Linked DNA regions of Coturnix japonica. The protein of the gene in region 1 purifies or fractionates together with the protein of each later gene. This does not show direct contact. Links are inferred from orthologs where the notes say so. Each region holds a gene or a part of one and is shown in the gene's direction. Other genes may lie near its edges.

The links.
Region 2: the proteins of REXO4 (region 1) and RRS1 purify together in Homo sapiens (co-immunoprecipitation; 3 studies listed by BioGRID and IntAct, with this or other methods). This does not show direct contact. The link is inferred for Coturnix japonica from reciprocal best matches to the Homo sapiens genes REXO4 and RRS1.

What each region holds. Positions count from the first base shown.
Region 1 is NC_029532.1:5,443,684-5,452,039, reverse strand, and holds the start of REXO4 (RNA exonuclease 4), read left to right. Parts: upstream 1-4,096; 5' UTR 4,097-4,136; coding exon 4,137-4,313; intron 4,314-4,542; coding exon 4,543-4,997; intron 4,998-5,267; coding exon 5,268-5,423; intron 5,424-5,585; coding exon 5,586-5,779; intron 5,780-5,943; coding exon 5,944-6,032; intron 6,033-6,352; coding exon 6,353-6,427; intron 6,428-7,088; coding exon 7,089-7,163; intron 7,164-7,896; coding exon 7,897-7,989; 3' UTR 7,990-8,356. Other genes in the region: ADAMTS13 (A disintegrin and metalloproteinase with thrombospondin motifs 13), read right to left, coding at 10-156, 485-609, 696-779, 1,190-1,326, 1,707-1,848, 2,051-2,331, 3,142-3,208, 3,516-3,590.
Region 2 is NC_029517.1:104,227,893-104,235,139, forward strand, and holds RRS1 (ribosome biogenesis regulatory protein homolog), read left to right. Parts: upstream 1-3,926; 5' UTR 3,927-3,993; coding exon 3,994-5,064; 3' UTR 5,065-5,205; downstream 5,206-7,247. Other genes in the region: ADHFE1 (hydroxyacid-oxoacid transhydrogenase, mitochondrial), read left to right, coding at 6,138-6,193, 6,348-6,385. UniProt on the Homo sapiens protein: Involved in ribosomal large subunit assembly. May regulate the localization of the 5S RNP/5S ribonucleoprotein particle to the nucleolus.

The sequences.
Region 1 (8,356 bases):
CCTACTGACCTGTGCCCAATCTCGTGGGCTATGGTGACTCCCAAGTCAAAGCCAGTGTCCTGGGTAATAACACAGCTCCAGGAGGAGGAGCAGACCCCACCTAACTGAGTCACTCCACGTAGCTCCTTGTTCCCATCAGGTAACTCCAGATCAAACCTAAAGTAAGGGAGACACATCCAGAAGTAAAAGCAAAGAACCACTGCAACTAATAAAGTCAAGACTAGATATATAATACCAACTTATTTGCACTTTTCTGACCTAACTTTACTGCTAGCTAGCATTTCTTCTGGGAATACAGAACTCCCTTGGGCAGGATGGTAGGAGTCCCATGAATGCTAAACTACACTAAGGACAGGAGAATCAACCCCAAACAGAAGAACTGACTCATTTTCAAAGGCTCTGTGCAAATCAGTGTCACTGTGCTGGTGACTGGACAGCAGTTGCCTGACTTCCAGCCTCTAAGAGGGTATGAGAATTACAGTACCTGGTCACATACAGGACGATGTCGGCATGCTGGGGATCAGAGTCATTCTGGGGGTTGACCTTCTTGCTCCACTCACAAACACTGATCAGCGAGGAGGTGATGTTTGTTGTGATATTCACATTAATCTACAGGTAAAGCATATGTTTGCACATTGCATACAGGCTTAGCAACCCACCCCAGACAATGCTAGGACAGAATCCTCCCTGCTTACCTCCGGCTCCTTCAAAACGAGCATTTGCATCAAATGAACCCTTAAATGAGCACCCAGTGAGGCATCTCGCAGCAGTTCTGCCCCCTGTCAAGTGATAGAAAGGATTCCATCAAATAGTCACCTCAGCGACTCTCAGTATCTGCTCCCATTTACAGGAGTTTACTCACTAAAAAGGTAACACATCTGGTAAATATAAGGACAAAAACAAAATCACCAGGATGTGACGTGTATAAACTCTTGCCTGATATTACATATGGAATTAGATTAGTAATGGAATGAAGATCTTCTAACATTCACTTTTACTCATGCTGCTCCTTCTATAAAGGTAAGCTTGCTGTACAGTCCAAAAGAGACACAGAGGAACACCCTACAAGTAAGCAGTGCCCTGATAGGAGCAGAGAACTGCAAAGACCTCTGAAGGAACACTCACAGAACTGAATCTGTTAGCAACACTGGGAGAGCTCACAGCAATCCAAACAGAAAGCTACACTCACAATGTTCAGGTTGGCAAGAATATATCGCTCTGTGTCCTCTTGGTGGTACATGTAAACATCAGGACCTGCTACAACCATCAGCTCCAGATGTTTGACAGTTCCATCAGCCCTCTTTTGTAGGCGAGAAGCAAAGTGCCCTGCAGAACAACAGAAAGAGACACAGAGTTTAAAATGCCAGGCAGCATAGAAGATTCTATAAGTCCATTCTCTTTTCCTGAAAGACTAAAATACTTCTGCTAGAAAACCATTTCTGTGGTTACTTGCCTAAGTTTCCCATTTCAGATGGTTTCTTTCCCCTGTCTTCATCCTTGATAACAAGTTTGTATTATCAAAATAATAAACACCTAATGGAAAATGCACACTATTTACAACTCAGCAAGGTGAGTAACACACATCAAGTACAATCATATACTTGCAGATGCAAACCTTCTTCTTTCTCCTCACTTAAACAACCACACTACCAGAAGACAGTTTGTCAAAGCAGAACCACCCAGAGCTTTCTCTCCATACATCTTACCTCTTGCTTTTTTTGCCCCTATTGCAGCTTGTCTGAAGAGAATGTGGGGTCTGGAGAAGCCAAGATCCTTCAGCAGGGCCGTATCTTTTCTTCTGACAGGCCTGATGTGAATCTTTTCTTCATCTGTAACAATGACTCCTTGCTAGAGGAGATGAAATTCCACCTCTGAGTTATTGCAAACACTTGCTACAATGGAGAACCGTGTGCCATATCCTTCCTGTTTCTTCTTAGTAACACTCAGACTTATTAAATGGATGGTTCGCACGTGTTTGGGGTTTCAAGCTGCAAGCCTGAAAAGGCTGTAAACGCTGGCAGAAAAGCTGATAAGTTCAGTGCATACTCACCAGCTGCCCTTCACAGTAAGTGACTCTACACTCAGCCCCAGGAGGTGCCAACAGATTTCCACCTGCAAAGCAGTTGCCTGAGAATCGCTTTATTAAGCTAAAGGAAGAGTTCACCACTTGGCTGATCACAAAGGAAGAGGAAAGGAGGGTATGGTCCTCTAGAAATTCGAAGGTGAACACTTCTCCCCAAGCCTTAATGGAGCAGTGCTGGATCTGACACATCAGCCCAGTCTGCTCTTCTTTACAAGGGCAATCTGGCTGAGCAACAACAAACTCAGGTACTGAAAGACACAAAACAAACAAACAAACAAAAAGAACAAGGGAAATAGTTATGAAAAATAACAATACATGGAAAAGAAATGTAATGATCTGCCTTCTTAGGAAAAATTATTCTCTGAATGACAGCTATGGCCTCATTTTGTCAATAGGCAAAGAACTTCATCTATTCCAATGTGAGTACTCAGACTGGGAACAGACAATAGCTCTGGAACTGGCTCCTGAATGACCTGTGCTTCTCTCCCTCGTCAATGAGAACAGTTCATTTGGCAAAGGCTGAGATAGATTTGCTCCCTCAGACGTTAAATATTACTGAGAATTACCATAACCCGAACAGAGGTGCTGGGAACAGCAGTAGGTGAACTCACAAAGTGACAGCATCCTTGCTTTAAGAATGTGACAGTTCAAAATGTACCTTTATGCTGAACTATCCAGAACAATCCAGACCTAGAACGTTCCACCTGTGCATTTCAAAACGTTAACAAGTGCACTTAAAGCTGTTCTCAGTCTATGCCTTCCCATTCAGATGACTTAGATCTGTTAACCTTGTCGAAAAATACTGGTACAGAAAATAAGGACCACGGATGGAAAAGATTTATCACAGCTCCTTAAGCAGATTTTAAACACTGGCCCAGTTCTTCAATTGCTTACACACTGAGACATGGATTACCTCACCGAGCAACGCAACTCAGAAATGCTAAATACTTGTCAGAGCAGGGTTAGTTAATAAGTGTTCTTAGCGTTATCAAATGTACGGGATTAGGAATAAACTGACAAATGTGTTCCAAAATCAAGAAGGAAAGAGCTCTGCATACCATCAGACGCTGAGCTGGTTCCAAAATAAGAGAAAACATCGTCTGCATCCAAAGCTCTGAGAAACCTCTGCAAGAAGAAGGATAGCTTTACGTTTTTTAGGGAAAACAAATGGACACAAAGTTATTATTTAACCGAAACGAACCTGGAAGGGACGTCAGCAAACAATTTAACAAGTATGGATGCCAAGGTCTAATGGTTTTATTTTGCACTAAGCGTACGCTGCACAACGGCCACCCGGAGGAAATAGCTTTATCTTCTTGATTAGTGAAGTCTGATACATCTTGGCTTAGAACACGGTGTGTTTTCTCTTCTTTTTTTCCTAGAAATAAAACAAGGCTTCCTGGAAACGGAGCTTTCTGGAGGTCAGGCTTACCTCTTGGAGGATGGAGGGCCAGCAAAACCCCAGAGGGAACATTATGAGTACTCGGATGGTCAGACTGATGATCATGCTGGAGGGACTGCAAGCAGTGCTGCAGAGCAATCTCTGGCCCAGGGGTGATTAAAATGCTTGGTCTGAGGCATCACGTGGAACGGAAGCAAAGCATGCAGAGTTTAAATAAACAGGAGAGATGATCGACTGCAGAGGGGGACAGTCGAGGGGGAATTGAACTGCTGTGGGAGGATTTACAGGAACAGCTGGAGAGGGAGAGCTTTTTGCACAACATTTGCAACTTCATTACAGCCAAGGAGCGCAGCGAAGAGAAGCAGCTTCGGGCCAACTACAGCAGCCAAATAAACAAGGAGTAATTTGTGCGGGGTAAGGGCTCTGATTTGTTGAACTCCGCGTTCCTGCTCGCCAAACCTCAGCACAGACTGAGCACTGTGATTCAGGGCGATGTCCCGCAGGACGCACACCCCGCTCCATGCACCGCTGGCTTCTCCCCTCTGTTGACCACCAGGGGGTGCCCGCACAGCCCCGGCCCCGCAGCGGAACGCAAAGCTCGATCCGCCGTTCCCCGCCGGGTGCTGCACCGTTTCCCCGCCGTGGTTCCGCATGGCGAAAGCGGATCCCGAGGGGGCGGCCGGTGGGAAGGGTCGGAGGAGGAAAGGCCGGCGGGGCAGCGGGCAGCAGGCGGGGATGGCCGCGCAGAATGGCCCGAAGGCGGCCACGGTGGCGGCCATACCCCGCAGCCCGCAGGAGTTCTCCTCCAACTGGAAGGCGCTGCAGGAGGTGAGGGCGAGCAGGGCTGGATGCCGGGCTCTGCATTAACTCGGTTCCGATCTGGGTGTAATCATTTAGAAGGACTTTTTATGTGTAATAATAACCCGCGGGGGATGGGGCGTTGCAGCCAGCCAGAGCCCTGCTCTGCTTCAGTGATATCGGGGGAGAATTGATGATGATCAAGGAGATAATCCCTCTCTCTCTCCTTTTCCCCCCCTCTTTTCTTTGGCTCTTTTAGCTACTGAAGCAGAAGGCAAGTGCCTCGAATGAGACTCTCCCTTCATCTCAAACATCCACCAAGAAGCAGCATCCACTCAAAGAGGGAAACAGCCAACAGGTCCCAGCTGGCACTGGGGATCAAAACGTGTTGAAACCCAAATCCACAAATAAAAAGGACGGGGGTCTGAATGCACACAGCCCTCCTGTGGGCAAGGTGAAACACAAGAAGGCTGCAACTGACAAGAATTCAAAGCCTAAACACACAGATCAGAGGGCCAAGAGTTCTGCTGATGGTGGCGCTCCTATGGCTGAGCCCAAAGGCAGGAGAGATGAGAAGGACAAGAGTGTGAACGGCATCAAAAGCAATGGGAAGGGCTGCAAAGAGAAAAGGAAAAACGGCAGCATTGAAAAGGAGAAGAGCGACGTGAAACATAAGAAGAGGAAAGCTGACGATAAAGCACAGCAGCCCAAAGAGTGAGTACTTCAAGCATCAGCACATGGTAATGTATTCTAGGAGGTGTACAATGAAATACGTTCCAAATAGCTGTGCTCTTCCAGGCTAGAATGTGGGCAACAGAAGATGAATGCTGCCCCTCCTCACAATAAATCTGCATAGATAACAGCATAGACTACTTTTGAGATAGCTGCTTTCTTGATTTTAAAAGATAAATGTGCTTTTTGTGCATGGTGGAGATGCACTGTCACTTTAAGACTATTTAACACAGTTAAATTTATACTTACCAGGCCCGACATCTGGTTTGATGATGTTGATCCAAATGATATTGAAGCAGCAATAGGACCTGAAGCAGCAGAAGTTGCTAGAAGGAAAATGGGACTTGAAACAGGCCAACCCAAACGGACTGTGGAGCAGGTGCTGGTTAAAGAGAAGTCTTCTGGAGGGTGAGTGGTGTTCCAAGCAGGAGACACAGCAGCAGAGGCATCACAATTAGCTTGTAATGGCTGTAGACAAAGTTTAAGCTGACATCTGAGTCTGCTGCTCGCAGCTCTGCTGTGTGGTCCCTGTAAAGAGATGCGTCACTGAGTTGTCTTTTTCTTTTTCAGCCTTACAAGAGCTGTAGCTATGGACTGTGAGATGGTGGGAGTGGGACCCAACGGCGAAGACAGCATTGTGGCTCGTGTGTCCATTGTGAACCGGTTTGGAAAGTGCATTTATGACAAGTATGTCAAGCCTACAGAAGAGGTGACGGATTACAGGACAGCTGTTAGCGGCATACGACCTGAGCATCTAAAGACAGGTAGGCTCTTGTAACAAGCTGAGGGTTGATTGTACAGCACAAACTTGTGTAACCACAGTCCCATAAGGTATAACGCTGTCTTCACAACAAAGATGCCATATTCTGGTTGTAGGTTGCTTAGATGTTTTGTGTGTCTAATGCCAAGTGTTCCATCTCATCTTTAGGTGAAGACTTTAAAACAGTTCAGAAGGAGGTCGCTGATATCTTGAATGGAAGGATATTAGTTGGGCATGCATTACACAATGACCTAAAGGTAACACAGCTGCAGATTTGTTGCTATGAAGACAAAGCTCCAAACACTGAAAATCAGTGAATTTATTATTCATCTTCCTGGATCAGTCAAATAACACACCTAAACTCATAGGAACTGCTGCTTTTTAGCTGTTAGCTCAGTTTCTTGTCCTCTCACATTGTACCAAGTGTAGCCCTGTTTGCTGGCACACCAAGTTCTTCAGCTTGCACACTGATCTTAATAGCACTGATTTAGATGCTGAAGAGCAGGAAGCTGTGTATTCAGCTGTATCAGTTTTTGTGTAGCATCACTCTTTACGCTGGAAATGTGATTTCTTTCAGGTCTTATTCCTTGATCATCCTAAGAAGAAAATGCGCGACACGCAAAAATACAAACCTTTCAGACAGAGAGTCATGGTAAGAAAGTGATGGAAAGGAGTACCTTGATTAACTGACACCAGAGCTGCCGACTCCCAGCTTTTAGCCCACTCACTCCTGTGCTTGCCTCACTTGTCCCCATTTCTTCTTTCCAACCTGAAACAGAGATATCAACTTTTTGTTGGTTGAAAATACCAGTCTAACTGAATGCTTGGTTACTGTTTGAAGTATAGCAGTGTTACTTTGTTAGCTGTAAGTATTACCTGTAATACCTCTGCACAAGGTTCAGCAGTCCTCCCACTCCTTAGCATGTACATGGTCTTCATAACGCTCTTCTGGAATAGCAAAATAAGATTTTACATTTATAGTAAGGACACTGGATACTCTTAATAGTGTCATTTGCACATGGATATTAAAAAAATAGATGGTTTCAAGTTTCTACTTGGACTCCAGAAGAAACAGCATAGGACATTATTTTACTTTTCATAACTACATACTCTGTTTTTCACAGTAAAACACCTCAAACCTAAACCTCAGGGTTATGGGACCACATAGACAATCCTCTAAGCAGGACAAACAGATGTGCATAAGCCTCATAATTCATTAATTCTCCTTGCCAGTTCACCAAGGGAAGCTGTATATATACACATACATAATTCAAGCAGCGTGATAAAGCGTGATTTAATCTTTATATTTCTAGTGCGCACGGCCATCGTTGAAGCTGCTCTGTGATAGAATTCTAGATGTTAAAGTGCAGACATCAGAGCACTGCTCGGTACGTATCTCATCAATGTAGCCTTTTATGGGTAGATTGACAGCATGGTACACATTGCTTCTGGGATCAGAGTTCATTCTGGAATCCCATGCCTTCATTCTCACCTCTCAATGAAAGTCAGCAAGCTCTGCTTGGATACAGTCATGTAAAAAGGTTGCTATCTAAGTTTTCTTACACTCTATCTAAGTTTTCTTACACCACTTGGATACTTTCATAAACTACTTTTTCACAAGTCAACCATATTTTTAAATACTGATTCTTGTTTTAGTTCTTGTTATTTTAAGATCCCCAGGGAGAAAAGTAATGTCAAATTGCTTACATTAAAAGCAGCACGCTGCACTGTTGCTCTGTGTTGAAGAGGATAGAAATAAATGCATCAGTAGTGAGAGCCTACTCTCAGCAGTTATAGCCTCTCTTATCCACTGAAACAGGTAAAGGAGTTGAAAAAATGAGCATGTTATGCAGGTATCTCCAAGGTGCTGTAATCAAGGCTATTTTCTCATAATGATTTTCCAAGTCATGATCAGAGAGAGCATTGCACAGCATTGTATGGGCACCTTACACGTTCACCTCCCTCCACTAGTCAGTCAATATCTGAATATAGAAGATTATGAAACATTACTTGAAAGGATGTATTAAAATGAAAGATTTCACTGTTTATGAACAATAACATTTTTAAGTCATGTCAAGCCATGTTTTGTTAAGTTAAGCCTCCTGTTCTGTTTTCTTTCAGATTCAGGATGCACAAGCAGCTATGAGACTGTACACCTTAGAGAAAAAGAAATGGGAAGCTGCTCTTAAGAACAAATCTAAAGTCAAACTGTGAGACTTGAATGATTCCACACTGTGTTATTTAACTGCATTTGCTGCTTCACTGTCAGATCCCAGGCAAATTCAAGGAGAGCTGCTCAGAACTAACAGCAGTAATTTCATACAATAATACAAACAAAAGCCCAGCACAGAATGGCAACATTCACATACAAGAATACTGCTGAAGTATCCCCTTTCTGTATAGTACTTACACCTAATGGAACAATACTTGCAAATGCCTGCATTTGTGAAGTACTTCGTCAATAATAGGAAATAAATATTAAATGAACAATAAAAAGAGAGCACTTTTAAATTGTGATGGATGAAGGAAGAAACTGATACTGCTTTACTGAAACTGTCAAGACTAAAACCTTTATTTTGGA
Region 2 (7,247 bases), on another chromosome or scaffold:
GTATTCGCTTGTAACTGTATTTCCAGTTACCCAGTTTTAGGTTTTAGAACTTTATTTACAGCCTCCCAAGTCTCCTCTTTCACAACTACATCACTCTGCTAATACAATAGTAAAGTATCTGATAGGAAAATTTACAAATGGACCAGAAATACTTTTGTTCACATGCGTACAGGTAATACCTTCAATGGAACAATCCACATGCTCAGAATAAGGCAGGTCCTTGAACCCATTCCTAGCTCAAGGCCTTATGTTGGTGAGACCATGGGAAGGAACTGCCCATTATCTGTAATGGGTAACAAAACTTTTCCTTAAATAGCATAAACTGTAACCAACAAGATTTTCTTTCTTCCTTTCTTCCTTTCTTTCTTTCTTCCTTTCTTCCTTTCTTCCTTTCTTCCTTTCTTTCCTTTCTTTCCTTTCTTCCTCCCTTTCTTCCTTTCTCTCTTTCTCTCTTTCTCTCTTTCCTTCTCTCTTTCCTTCTCTCTTTCTTTCTCTCTCTCTTTCTCTCTCTTTCTTTCTTTCTTTCTTTCTTTCTTTCTTTCTTTCTTTCTTTCTTTCTTTCTTTCTTTCTTTCTTTCTTTCTTTCTTTCTTCTCTTCCTGCTTCCTTCCTTTCGCTTCCTTCTTCCTTCCTTCCTTCCTTCCTTCCTTCCTTCCTTCCTTCCAACTGTTGTTCTCAGTATAGCTTCAGTGAGCTAACTTCTCCCTTATATGATGAAATTCTACCACGTAAATTTCCATGTAAAGTGTACCGAACAAAATCAAGGGATCACTGCCTCATTTGGAGACAGTGTGCGCATTTCAAGGGTACTTTCTACTATTTGCCAAAATTACCAGCACTTTGAGTTTCCCTGATAAAAGCATTCTTCATAATGATCCTTCCAGCAGGTTTAAGAATTCTCTGAATCATCTTGCAACTACATCTAGTGCCATCCAGAGGTAATCGACAAAAGTTCGAAGAGTAAATCGACATTAATTCTATCACGAACAGTAAGATGTGAATACTGTATATTAGAGCAGTTCTTAAGGGATACAAGGTTTAGGTTGTATCGCAGCTGAACAGAAGTTATAAAAATAAAAGCTAAGCAGGGTTAAGACACATTATAGCTTATTGATGTTGTGGTTCACTCTGTGCGTTGCATCCTGTGTTATGCTTTCTATTGCACTTTTGGCAAAGTGCTCCTGCAAGTCACACTGTGTCATCTTATGCTGTTCCTGCAGGCCACAACTGCAGTAAGAAGCACCAAACAAACACAGAAACAAACCAAAGCTTTTCTCACCACAAAGATACCTTGCACTCTGACAGAGCAGCCAACTTCTGTCTGATCATCTACTGTACAGAAAGTAAGCAAGTATTAAGGAATTAAGCACACACATGCACAAATGTGGTTATGTATTACTATAATTCACACTGAAGAGACAGTAAGTTTGCTAAGAAGAGTATGAACTTTCATTCAGTTCTTCACTTATATCTGTTCTTCAGTGCTTACAGTACAAAAGGTCTGGTGTTGTCAGTAAACCTAACAGTGATTTCTTTCTGCTACACAACAGAAGTCTATCCATACATAGACCATGAAATTTCTGTGTGAGGTAAGTAAAATCTGGCTTTGCCAAGAACTACAGCAAAACCACCAAAGACTTCAGCTCCATCAGGGTTTCACTCATGCCCATTAAGAAGTCTGAGTCTTTGAAAAGATGTAAGAAGCTTTTTCAATCTTATTCCCTAGTAATGTATTAAAACTATATGCTGTATTTTTTTTAATGCTTTGAGAATGTGTATAACGTTCACTTGTGACACATTGCAAAGACTTACCTAGACTGATGGAAGTATAATATTGATTAATAGCAAAAAAAAAAAACCAATCCAAACTGAATCAAAATAGATTTTCTGTTTATTACTAATTGCGACTGTCCAACCACATGCATAAGTGCACAGGAACAATTCCTTGCTTCCAGCAATGAAATATACAGCAAAGGGAGGGGGGAAAAAAGAAAAACAAAAAGGCATTAAAAAACTCACCTTTGAACTCAGTTTTAGGCCAAGTGTACTGAGTGCCGAGTTTCCTGGCAAGGATCCCCATTGCAGCAAACAAACAGACCTGTTTACTGATTTGCAAGCACCCATATAGCAAATTACAGTTCCTGGAATACATAAGAAAGCTGGAATGCAACTCTAAAACAACAGTTCCCAGAAATTGAATTGCTACATTATGGGCTTTTTTTTCTTCTTTTTCTTTTCTTAGCAAGTTCAGGCTATCAGATGAAACAACAAGTCCTGGTATGTGCTCCTACTGCTGTTCTAGTGACACACAGTAATCATAAACTCTCAAGGTAACTTTGGAAGTGTAAGAAATACTAGCGATTGCATCCTTCCACTCCTAGTCATTTATATGAACGCTTTGGGGCTTTGAACAAATATTAACCAAAAGAACTCAGAGTTCACTGCATAAGAACAAAACTCAGGAGAGCACAAGGATCAGCAGGTAGGTATTGACCAGACTGCCATTCAAAAGTACAGACGTATGCTTGAATCTCATCTAATAGTGCACATACATCCCTTCAAAGACGCATCTTTAAAGTTAATTTCATCTGTAATTCTAGGTGAAAAAATAACGAGGTCCAAGAAAGAGCATAGCCTCCAGTGCAATGCCATCTTGTGGTAAAAGGAGAAAAGGTATGCGTCATCTGCTCCAATTCTTCCATAGTGTACAAAACACACTCAGAATTGTTGACTTGGGAGTGGAAAAAAACGAGACTTTATCACAGTTAGAATTATAAGTACATTCATCTCTATTTACAAGCCTAGCATTTTATTTACTTCCCCAAAACACTGCTCTGCCGTTAGAGTCATTTCCGTCACTGCAGACATTATGTATCCGTAGAGATGTGATTTAGCTTAGTAGAAATGTGTATCTTGTGTAAAAATTCCCATAACTTCCTTGGCCACAACTAGACGCCCCCTTTAGCTTGTTTTGAGGGTACATGAGTCAGCTCGAAATGTCATGGCCATGCAGGCCACATCCCTGTAAAAGGATCCTTCCAGACCTCATTTATTTAAAAATAGCATGGCAATATCTCTGACCCAGACAACCTTTGGGTGCACGGTGTCACCTCACTTTTCACTGTGCTTCATGAGGCACCTGCCAATCCCACTATCCAAATGCTGTTCCCCTTCTTCCTTCACCAACAGCCCTGCCCTCAGGGTCACTGTCAGTCCTAGTGGGGCTGGAATATCACAGAATCACAGAATGACCCGGGTTGGAAGGGACCTCAAGGATCATGTAGTTCCAACCCCCCTGCCTGGCAGGGCCACCAAACATACACATTTACTAGATCAGGTTGCCCAGGGCCCCGTCCAACCTGGTCTTGAACACCTCCAAGGACGGGGCATCCACAACCTCCCTGGGCACCTGGGGAGGACTATATGGGACTTGAATTTTGGTTCTGCGGCTAGAACTTTTAGACATGGCTGTGCCGCAGTGCTGCGGGCACCTGAATGTTATGGAAATTTATGCTGTGAAAGAAATGTATCTATATTATTTACAAATCTGTGAGTCTTAAACCTGCTTGATGTTTGCGTGCTATCACACACACCACCCACAGTGGCTGGCAGAGCTGTGAGGCCGTTTGCTCACCCTGGATGCTGCACATTCAGTCACAGCCCTGGCCTTCCGTGATACCACGGGGCAGCAACACCTGACTTTCACAGACCCTCACTCCAGCCCTGTCCCATGCTGGGGCTAAATGCAATGCCTGCTTGGCAACCACCACACAGCGGGGCGAAGGACTGTGGCAACCACCACACAGCGGGCTGAGGGACTGTGGAAGCCGCTGTGCCCGGCATGGTGTACTACATCTCCCATGGGGCGCTGAGGCCCGTATCTGTGCAGCCTACATTTCCCGTCATTCCGGGCTCTGTACGCAGTTCCGTCGCACTGACCCGTATTGCTGCGCCGCGCTTCCTGCGCTCGGGCGGCCACACGCGGTCCGCCACCATGGCGGCCGTGCGAGTGGAGGAGGTGCTGGCGGCGGCGGCGGCCCAGGAGCAGCAGCAGGCGCGGAGCGTGCAGGTGGAGAAGGAGCTGGAGCTGGAGTTCGACCTGGGCAACCTGCTGGCGCTGGACCCCAACCCGCCTCCCGCCGCGGCGCTACGCGGGGCCGGGCCGCAGCGGGAGTCGCGGCTGCGGGCGCTGGCCCGGGACAACGCGCAGCTGTTGGCGGCGCGGCTGTGGGAGCTGCCGGCCGAGCGGGCGGACGGGGCGGCGGGGCCGCTGGTGGCGCGGCTGCCCGAGCCCGCGTTCCGCCTGCCCCGGGAGAAGCCGCCGCCTCGCCCGCGGCCCCCCACGCGCTGGGAGCAGTTCGCCCGGCTGAAGGGCATCCGGCGCCGCAAGCGGACCTCGCTGGTGTGGGACGAGGAGGCCAAGGAGTGGCGGCGGCGCTGGGGGTACCGGCGGGCGGGCGGCGACCCGGCCCGCGCCTGGTTGGCGGAGGTGCCGGCGGGCGCAGACCCGAACGAGGACCAGTTCGCCAAGCTGCGGCACGCCAAGAGGGAGCGGGTGGCCCGCAACGAGCTCAACCGGCTGCGGAACCTGGCCCGAGCGCACCGCCCCGCCGCCGCCGCCCCGCTGCACCCTACGGGCCACCAGAGCCGGCAGGAGCTGGGCCTGGTATCGCGCGTGGCCCGCGTCTCCACCGCCTCGCTCGGCCGCTTCCAGCCGCGGCTGCCCAAGGAGCCGGCGGAGCCGCCCTCCCGCGACGGCGGCAAGAAACGGCGCTTCCAGCCGCTGCTGGGAGACCTGGCGGCCGAGCGCGGGCGGCAGCTGGAGCTGCTGCGGGGCATGAACAGCAAGAAGCCGGCACTGGACATCACCCGCGCCGTCAACAAGCAGCTCCGCGAGGAGGATGCCGAGGCGGCCGCCGCCAAGGGCAAGAAGCGGGGACAGCGTGGAAAGCGGGGCCGCCGGCAGCAGCGGCCCGGGAAGAGGAGCGGAGGCGGCAAGAAGGGCGGCGCGGCCCGACGGCAGCAGCAGCCAGCGGGGGGCGGTGGCAGGAGGAAGAAGGCGTGAGGGACTGTCTGCATGCAGGCTGCAAAGGGAACAGCGCCGTGGGCACTGAGGGACTGTATGCGAGGGGTGCAAAGGGACTGCTCCACATCCACCGCTGTGCAGCCCGCACCTCTGTCAATAAACACATTTTGGTGTTTGAAATGTCTTGTGCACGGCTCCTGTGGGAGGGCTTGGGGGTGGCTGGGCAGCAGCTCCTGTGTTCTGCAATGGGGAGGTCCTTGAGGAGTGGTCCTTGAGAGCAGCTCAGCAGAGAAGGACCTGGGGGTCCTGATGGACGAAAGACTTAACATGAGCCAGCAGTGCGCTCTGGCGGCCCGGAAAGCAAATGGGATCCTGGGCTCCATCAGGAGAGGGGTGGTCAGCAGGGATAGGGAGGTGATCGTCCCTCTCTACTCTGCTCTTGTGAGGCCCCATCTGGAGTACTGTGTCCAGGTGTGGAGCCCTCAGTACAAAAAAGATATGGAGATTTTGGAAAGGGTCCAGAGGAGGGCCACGAAGGTGATCAGGGGGCTGGAGCACCTCCCCTATGAGGACAGGCTGAGAAAGTTGGGTTTGTTCAGCCTGGAGAAGAGAAGGTTGTGGGGTGACCTCATTGCAGCCTTTCAATACCTGAAGGGAACTTACTCCCAGGAAGGGAGTAAACTCTTTGAAAGGGCTGACACGGGGAAATGGTTTTAAGTTAAAAGAGGGAAGATTTAGGTTGGATGCTGGGGGGAAGTTCTTCACAAGGAGAGTGGTTAGGCCCTGGAACAGGCTGCCCAGGGAGGTTGTGGATGCCCCGTCCTTGGAGGTGTTCAAGGCCAGGTTGGACGGGGCCCTGGGCAACCCGATCTAGTAAATGTGTATGTTTGGTGGCCCTGCCAGGCAGGGGGGTTGGAACTACATGATCCTTGAGGTCCCTTCCAACCCGGCTCATTCTGTGATTCTGTGAGGTGCTGAAGCAGGTCCAGAGAAGGACAACGAGGCTTGTGAAGAGCTGAGCGGTAGCGCTGCAGCCAAGTCCCCCGGCGTCCCGCCCCGCGGCTCCTGAGGGGTGTTCCCGGCCGTGCCGTCCCAGCGGGCCGTGCAGCGCCATGGCGGCCGGGCGGGAGCGGGCCGTGCGCCTCCTCAGGCAGCTGCAGCGGGCGGCGTGAGTGCGGGCGGGACGGGTGGTTGAATGCCTGCAGGAGGTTCTGAGGGATTCCTTCGGGTGTTCTGCCTTAGTTTTACCTTTAAAACGGCACTTCAGTACTTGTGTTGTGTTCTTTGTGTGTTCTTTGTGTTTTTTCTTTCCTGCTATCCAGATGTCGGTGCCCGACTCACAGCCACACTTATTCCCAAGGTATGGTTTAAATCGCGTGTGTGAAATAATTCTGCATTGAGACTGTGGCCATTGTGTACACGTACTGCCTGGGTAGAGGGTGCATGTAACAGATAGAAAAGAGAGCAGAGAAAGCATAAGGTGAGCAGTCGCTTATTTTGCAGCTGTGCGATAATAAAGATTTTTGTTGGAGAGATCCCATGTCTCCATGTAAGCTGCAGTCAGTGTGCTCTGTCCTCCTTCCCCCTGCTGAAAGGCAGGCTGCACAGAAGCTGCTGCTGCTCATAGAGTGTCACAGCATGTCCTGAGTTGGAGTGGACCCACACAGATCACTGAGTCCAATGTGTGAGCTGACTCTACACAGAACCACATAAAAACAAAACCCTATGGCTGAGAGCGCTGTCCAAATGCTCTTTGAACTCTGGGCAGCTCAGGGCCGCGTTCACTGCCCTGTGCAGCCCGTTCCGTGCCCACCGCCCTCTGGTGCACACTCTGTCCCTAGCCCTACCCGCTCCTCCCCTGACACAGCTCCATGCCGTTCCCTGGGGCCCTGTTGCTGTCACACAGAGCAGAGCTCAGCGCTGCCCCTCAGCTGTGAGGAGCTGCAGCTGCCATGGGATACAGTAGATACAGTTTCCACTAGAGTTGGTATTTGGGCCCCTAATTTCAGTGATGAGTGCTTCTGAGTGGTTTTGATTCTTGTGCTTTACTGGAGACACTTTTTAAAGAGTTACCATTGCCATTTTGCTCGTGGAAAAGCTAATAGATGTTCAGGTAATGATTTTGTCCAAAGACCATCATACTGCAAGAGAAAAGCACAGCTGAGAAATAAAACCTCATTCTTTTCTTATTACTCCCACAGTCAATTCAAACTAACTAGAAA